Linked DNA regions of Sus scrofa. The protein of the gene in region 2 interacts with the protein of the main gene of each other region in a pairwise test. Links are inferred from orthologs where the notes say so. Each region holds a gene or a part of one and is shown on either strand. Other genes may lie near its edges. The genes, in order: APEH and LGALS8.

Region 1 (3,906 bases), on a different chromosome or scaffold from region 2:
CAGCCCACGAACACCACACCTGTGTCTCCAGGGGCCCAGAATGCCTGTAAACAAGACCGGGGGCAGGGGTAAACCAGGGGAGTAACTCAGGCAGGACCCTCAGACTCCAGGAATGACGTAGGCTGAGTCGCCACTGACCTGTCCAGGGGACACACTCTCAGGAACCCCCTCAAGCACAGAGATGTTGCCGCTCTCAATATCCAGCACGCAGAGCACAGGAGTACTTTTGGAAACCATGTTTTCTCCCCAATCTTCGTAAAACAAAAACTGATCCCCCTGAGAACACAAGACACTCAGGGCCTAGCCTGTCTCGCACGAGCCTGCCCTGTCCCCTACGAGACAGTGCCTCCCCAGTTCTGATAGGCACAGTGTAGGTGGAGAACATACTGGGCCCCAGGGCTGCCCTGAAGAACCTTCATGGACTGGCCATGACCATGAGCACCTTAATGGCCTGGTCTGGCTTCTTTGTCCTGGCCATCTCATCATCGCTGCCAGTGACGTCCAGGGCTTTGGTCTGAAAGAACGACTCAGCCTTGGGGCGCTTCTTCTCTGCCACATATAATAAGTGTGTCTCCGAGTGCGACCAGGACAAGCAGCCAAAGCAGTCTGGGTGCAAGAAAGGCAGATCAGGGGGAGCCCTGGGCTATGGCTGCCCCTCCTGTCTACCCTGCCTGCTCACCAGCCAGCTGCCTCACCGTCCTCATAAACCGGCCCATGTTTCTCCAGCGCTGACAGGTTGAAGCTCTTGAGCTTCCGGTTCTTCTCCCAGACCTGAGGACAGCTGGGAGTCAGGTTGTCTGTCCTCCAGCAGAGCTTTATCTGTGGATCTGAGCCCCCAGCTGCCTACCACCCGGTCCCACACAGACTTACCTCCAAAAACTGCTTCTCCTCCGCAGTGCCCGTGCCTCCAGCCTTGCGCAGCACGGCTTTCATGGTGCCTGAAGGAGACTCTCTGCTCAGCAGCCTGAGGAGGACACAGGATAACGCATCAGGACTACCTCCCACCCAGTGATAGCCCATCCTATCCCCTTACTGGCTGTAACCTCTTAGACAAGATTCTTGAGGCTGTGGCCCACATGCGTCCCTGCAGCCCTTCTAGTCCTACCATGGCAGATGCCTTGCCTCCCCTCCCTGGAGCAGGGGCTCCGGTCCTGGCCCGTCAGAAGCAAGTCTCCAGTGCTTATGACCATGTCTCTAGAGCTCCTAGTGGCAAAAAACAAGCTCCTGGCTTCCTTTCTGGGCCCTCCCCACACCAAGGCACACGGTGGGTATTCATAAAAGGCTTGCAGATGGCTGTGGCCTTGCCCACAAGCTTCCTTCCTCAAACTTACTCCCCCCGGGTCTCCACACTGTTGCCTGCAGGCCCTGCAAACACCACTGAGTCCCCATCATGGAACACCAGGTACTGGCGGCAGAATCGGATGTTCTCCATGCGTTCCAGGTCCCTCTGGGTCCACTCTGCGAGGAGAGGCATGAGACTGCTCAATTTGGCCAGTCCCAGCACAGGCTCCCCTACCCCGCCCAGAGGAAGGTCCAGCCCACCTCCCCAATCTGACTCCAGATATTCTGGGGGCAGGATGGGCAACACTTGGCTACAACTCAAGTTTAGGTCACCGGAGCCTGAGCTGACATCTTGGAGAGAAACCACTACCGCTCCTGGCATCCGCCCTAGGACCTTGAGGGGGGGTACAGTATGGGATGATGGGGGTGGGTGACCCCTACAAGACCCACACTCTGCACTCATGGGCAACATTCCAGAACACCCCCTATACACCTGTGTGCACGGCTGGGGGATGCACCCTTCCACACCCACACCCTCCAAGCCCGGTCTTCCACAAACTCGTGAGCACTGTCAGGCAGCGAGCCCTGCACATCCCCCTCCTCTCCACCCGAGTGCACGGCCCCGGAATAGGCCCGCCACCGATTCCCCGCCATACACACACCAGTGTGCACAGTCCGGTAGCGACCCCCGTACTGCGTGGTGACCTCTGGGCCCAGGCAGGCGGCGCTCAGCGCGGGCTGGCGGCTAAGGCCCCGGTACAGCGCCGCCGCCTCTTCGGGCTCGCTCAGCAGCACCTGCGCAGGGGACACAGCAGGGTCAGGCACAGCCCGGGTTGCAAAGACCACAGGAACCGCGGGCCGATCCCTCACCTGCCGCTCCATGGTTGCTCTGGGGCGCCGGGGCTAGGCAGTCAGTGCTGGCGCCCGGAAGTGAGCTCAGGGGGCGGAGCCCGCAGCGGCCCAGCCCTGCCACCCGGACCTTGCCTTGAGAGGGGCGGAACCTTCTACGAATGGGCCGGAACCGTTACCCGAGGGGCGGGGCCTAGATGGTAAGGAGGTGGGGCCTGTGGGGCAGAAGTGGGAACCGCGGCTGCAGGAGTCCTGGATGGGAGGGGCGGGAACCTTGGGGAAAGGAGCGGTCCTTTCCCGGCAGGCCAGGCTGGTGAGAGGCGGGCTGTGTGGGCCAAGCCCCGGCCAGTTACTTGGTGAGGAGAGGGGATGGTGCTGTGGAAACGGAATAAAGGCGCATATCTTTGGGGAGGGGCGAGGTCTGTGAGGAAAGACAGGGCCCAAGGGAGGTGGGGGGTGAGGCCTGACGGGGGTGAGCCCTAAGCATTCGGGGGGCGGGGACTGAGAGGGCGGCGGAGGACCGAAGGCTCTGCAGAGAGGCGGTGCGGCCGGGCGGGGCTGAGCCTAGCCCGGGTGAAGTCCAGAAAAGGAGAGGTGAGGAATGGGGCCTGAGCTGAAGCCAGATCGAAGCTATCTCCAGCAGGGATCTCCCGCAGCCAGGAACTGACTGTTGGGTCCTCCTGGTCCATTAGAAGGCAGACATTCACCAGGAGGTGCCAGGCCCTGCTCTGGAGGGGCTCCCAGGCCAATGAGAAAGGACAGAGGTGCGCTCCTGACATAGCTCGCAGAGTTCTAGGGTGTTGGGCAACGAAAGGCGGGTGCCAAATTCGCAGGGTGTTGCCTGGTTTTATCAGCCACCGCGCCTACCTCTTAAGCTATCTGCTCCTGCAGCCCTCACCCACCCGCTCAGTGGCACTTTGCTGGGGATCATGAACTGGTGGGCCTCTGTCTGCCTTCCCAGGCCTCAGGCCAAGCTCTTGAGTGCAAAGGGCCTGGTGGGGTCAGGCTCCACCCAGAACCAGAGCACTTCCTGTGGAAAGAAAAACCTGGACAGGCAGGTTCCCTCAGGACAGCAGTACTGGGCTGGGCTTATGATGGCTCAAGAGGGCAGGAGAGGCTGGCCAGCTGTCAGGCCAGCAGCGATGTCCCCTCTTCCATATACCTTGCACCTGGATGGTCTTCCACACCTCAGGGGCCTGGCTCCCTGCGCCCTGCTTTGCTTTTGACTGAGATTGGCCTGCAGCTTCCCCTTCCCCATCAACCACGTCGGGCTAGTTAAGTAAAAACAGTTTCCACTTTCTGGGGCCACCTGCATTTGTGAGCATCCAGTGTGTGCAGGACTGTTAAGGCCAGAACTGGGAGCAGATAGAGTTGCCCCAGCCACCAACCTGGGTGGAAAGTTGGAAATTAGGATGTTCATTACAGTTGTTGTTTATAACAGGAAAACTGGGAACACGGTGCCTGTCCTTGAGAACATGTGCAGTAGACTGGCTGTAAATTCACGGTGCAGCCCTCTGGAGCCCAGGCACTGGAGGATGAACATTTAAATATCTGGAATGAATGGTTAGAGATAAACAAAAGATGTTGTACTACTTTTCCTCTTTTTTGGGGGGGGTCTTTTTAGGGTTGCACCCACAGCATATGAAGGTTCCTAGGCTAGGGGTCCAACTGGAGCTACAGCTGCTGGCCTGCGACACAGGCATAGCAATGCCAGATCTGAGCTGCGTCCGCAATCTACACCACAGCTCACGGCAAAGCCAGGTCCTTAACCCACTG
Region 2 (3,806 bases):
AGGCCTGTTATAATAATGACTGTAAGCTGTTGCTTCCCATTTCCTCATTCTGCACTAGACAGAGCCACACTGCATGGTGAGGACTGAGGATACCGGGAGGACTCGGTTATGATTTTGCAAGCTTGTTCTAACAATATACAGAAGCCGTGTGGTGGTAGTGAGATGCACTGTAACAAGGCCAGTGTTACGAAGTCATTCTGTATTTCAGTTTTAGCAGCAGTCGTGCCAGCTACCAGTTTCTTACTTCCAGTAAGTGGATGTCGCCATCGATCTCCAGCGTGTCAATATTACTGAGCTCTCTGAATCTGTGTTTGTACTCCAGGCTATGTACACCATTTATTGCAACCTTGAACTCTCTAACATCACAATAAATTATCATCTGCAAGGAAGCATAATACACACATTAGTGTTTGCCCTGGGTTTCAAGGTTTTTGTTTCCTGCACACAAATAGAGGGGTAAGACCATTTGCTTGACTCACAGCCTAATCCTGCAAACTTCCCTGCCGAGAGCTCTCAGACCCTAACCTGACCCAAAGTGTATCTGGTTAATTGCTGCCTTGTCCCACTCAGGGAAGTGACTCTTACAGGCATGGAACCTCACACTGTCCCCAGGGCCTGCTGACCTTTCTGCACCCTCTCCTGCCCCCTGCTCCTGGGAAAGTAGAGAGTTGCCCCCCTCAGCGACATTTGGGAACTCCATAGATGAGAAAGTGGCCAGCATCGTGATTCTCATTCACAGGGGAGCTCGTTCCCACTGAAAGGCTGAGAACCAGGGGACCTGGGTCCAGACTTTGTGGCCTCAAACTCTAGGGCCTCGGGCGCTCAGACAATACGAAGCTTCCAAACTTGCAGGCATCTGCCAGGGACTGTACCACGGCCTCCCACCCGGCTCAGCACATCTTGTCTCTTTCTCAAAAGCTCTTCAAAGCCCAGCGCTGTAAAAATCCATGGGCAGCTAGCCTGCTAGCCTGCTGGCCGAGGTTCATCACTGATGTCAGTTCACAGAAGAAACCGCTTCCTCTTCCATCACTCGTACACCTAAACCTCAAACTTCCAGTCTGGCCACCAAGGTGCCACCTGTTTCCACCCTCAGTGGAAAGGCCAGTGGGTGGGCATGACTGCTCCCCACCTCCACTGTGGCTTCCACGGAGTGGGGTCGGGGGAGCACTGCCTCCTCCAACCTGGCCCCCTCCCCAGAGGCCAGGCTGAGGCACAAAATCTGAATCTGTGAAGTAGCAAAGCAAGTGTCTCTTCTCTTTTGACAGGACTGGTGGGGCTGGCCGCTGGGGAGGGCTCAGGAAGAGGAGGACATTCCATGGATAACAGTGACAGCTGACACAAGTTAAAGGCTCTAGGGCTACATGGAGAACTGGGAGAGAATCCATCACAGGGTGATAGGCCCACCACAGCGGTGGGAATCATCCCAGCTTCAGCCAGCTGGGAGGGACCTTTGGTGATGGACACTGGACACAGCCTCATGCTCTGAAGGGAAGACAAGCTGGCATTAGGTGGACACAGTGGCAAAGAGTCAGTTATCCACACTCAGCAGAGCAAGTGCGGAGCCAGCGCCTGACAAACAGAAACGTGAAGGCGCTGGCCTGGTAGACTGAGAGACCCCTGACCGAAGGGGACGTGGAACTTAGTCCCTCACCATCATCTGCACAGCTCATGCCAACATGAACATGATAAAAAGCTCACAGGTGAAATTACAAAACTGAAAGATTTTAAATGATTACAGCTAGAACTAATAAGTGGCTGAAATGCCAAGGAACAGACGATACTGTAAAATCAAAGTAAAAAGATCTGAGAATCTCAATGAAAGCCTATTAAAAAGGCAGGAGTTTGAAGCTACTTGGAAAAATAATACATCACTACAAAAAAATGACAATGATCCAGCGTGAGTATAATTACTGTTGTTGAAATAGGAAACTAACAAAAGGGAAAGATGATTCTAGAATTTATTCCTGTCCTCTTTTAATACAGTAATTCCAAACTTGGGGCTCAGGTCAAAAAACAAGTTACTGGTTTTTTTTGTCACTGACCAAAGGATCAACTTCCTTCTGGGGCATCCACTCCTCTGCCTCCCGTGACCGCAGGTCACCCTCCACAACCTGACCCCTGCTCCGTCAGTGGGCCACTGTGCTGCCTGCCCTCCCCACCTCCAGTGACCTGTCCCAGAAATCTCCTCAGTCCAGTGAATGCAACTCTGCCATCAACCTTCCACATCCTCCTGAATCCAAACTCACAGCTTCCAAGGCACAGAGCCGTCTGTCACTGCACGGACCAGGGCTGCACCGCACTGGAACTCAGGAGTAAATGCCAGCATCACATCGCCATCTGCCATTCCACCCTGCTGTTCATGCTTTGAACAGCTGAGTTCTTGAGAACTCAAATGGTCCGGAGCATGTGACAGTTTTAAAATGTAAAGCATGACCTACCTCAACCACCCTAAATGACCATGGGAGACAGGGAGTCACCTAAGCTCGTGAGGGCACCTAGCCAACCACCCAGCAGCCACACATCAAGGAGACTGACCACAGCCCAGAAATGCCCTCCTTGGGGAAATGCTGTGTTATCATAATGTTCACAGATGTGGAGGCTCAGAACTACATGCCTTCAAGTTCCAGTGGTCTAAATGTATCTTTCTTTGAATGTATACAAACAGGACCACCTGGACAAAAGTACTGCCTCCTAAGCTGTGTCACCGAGATGGGAGGTGGCAGGCAGTGTGGACAGCCTGTGGTTCCTGCGTCCTCATGTTCACTTAGGATTAAACATGTTACTCCAGTCCTGAGACACAGTCCCTGTGAAAATTCTTAGTAACTAATATGGGGGCTACACAAAAATGTTATGAAAAACAAATAATTCCCATGTAAATAAATGTGACTCTCTACTGGCTCGGCCATTTAATGCTGATGAAAGAGGGCATTCAAAATACCATCTCCAAATGAACAAAAACCACCCGCAGTCTCCGCATACTAAGTTGGACCTGATTTAAAGGACTCACCTACCCTACCCCTGCCCTGACGATTCATTTTCCTGTCCCATTTTCAAAGAAGAACAGCTTACCTCAAAGTACATCCCAGGACTAAATGGGAAACAGGTAATATTTCTCTCTTCTTCTCCCCAGGACTCCTGAAGAAAAGAATTTCTTACAAATGCTTTAACATTCAAGCGTGGGTTCAAGTGAAGAGCAATATCCTTGGATTTTCCTGATAGCAGGTCAACATTAAAGCTTTTTGAGAGAATTAAAAAAAAAATCAATTAGCCAAGTAGAAGGGAGGAGTGGGGTTTCTGCATTCTTAATCAGAATGAAACTGACTACACAAGACATGTACACAGGGATCCAGGAATGCTGAGGAAGGCAACACGTAGGAGTCTGAGTCAGCATACCACTGACATATTATTTGCAAACTAAAAACATGCAAAACTTTAAATCCATGTTTAAGGCTACAGATCTGGGTGAGAACTTGAAAGGGTTAAGAAGTGAACCAAAGGCTAGGGTCTGCCACAGGAGCAGGGTCCTTTCAAGCAGGCACCCCTAGCATTTACATTTGTTCTTCAAAGGCTACTTGCTAGGAAATAGCTCTCATTTCAAGCTTTCAGAAGCTTGAACCTCTCTGGAAAAAGTTGCAGAAGCAGAAACGTTTAAGTTCATTTCAAGAGGAGCCCTGATAAAGTTCTCTGCTCTCACAGGCGGCCCTGCAATCCTACAAAGCGCTGGATGGGCCTCGTGGATGAAAATATCACCCTCCTGTCTGGCCACGGAAGTCCAGGTTCTGCCATCTCCTCGTCGTACAGCCTTG

The links.
Region 1: the proteins of LGALS8 (region 2) and APEH interact in binary tests that used the Homo sapiens proteins (3 or more experiments, as listed by UniProt). The two-hybrid records come from large-scale screens. The link is inferred for Sus scrofa from reciprocal best matches to the Homo sapiens genes LGALS8 and APEH.

What each region holds. Positions count from the first base shown.
Region 1 is NC_010455.5:32,204,133-32,208,038, reverse strand, and holds the start of APEH (acylamino-acid-releasing enzyme), read right to left. Parts: upstream 2,177-3,906; 5' UTR 2,164-2,176; coding exon of another isoform or gene 2,152-2,163; intron 2,077-2,151; coding exon of another isoform or gene 1,944-2,076; intron 1,459-1,943; coding exon of another isoform or gene 1,332-1,458; intron 965-1,331; coding exon of another isoform or gene 934-964; coding exon 871-933; intron 772-870; coding exon 696-771; intron 607-695; coding exon 443-606; intron 277-442; coding exon 139-276; intron 45-138; coding exon 1-44. UniProt on the Homo sapiens protein: This enzyme catalyzes the hydrolysis of the N-terminal peptide bond of an N-acetylated peptide to generate an N-acetylated amino acid and a peptide with a free N-terminus. It preferentially cleaves off Ac-Ala, Ac-Met and Ac-Ser.
Region 2 is NC_010456.5:54,871,456-54,875,261, forward strand, and holds part of LGALS8 (galectin-8), read right to left. Parts: intron 3,236-3,806; coding exon 3,070-3,235; intron 380-3,069; coding exon 245-379; coding exon of another isoform or gene 230-244; exon of another isoform or gene 1-229.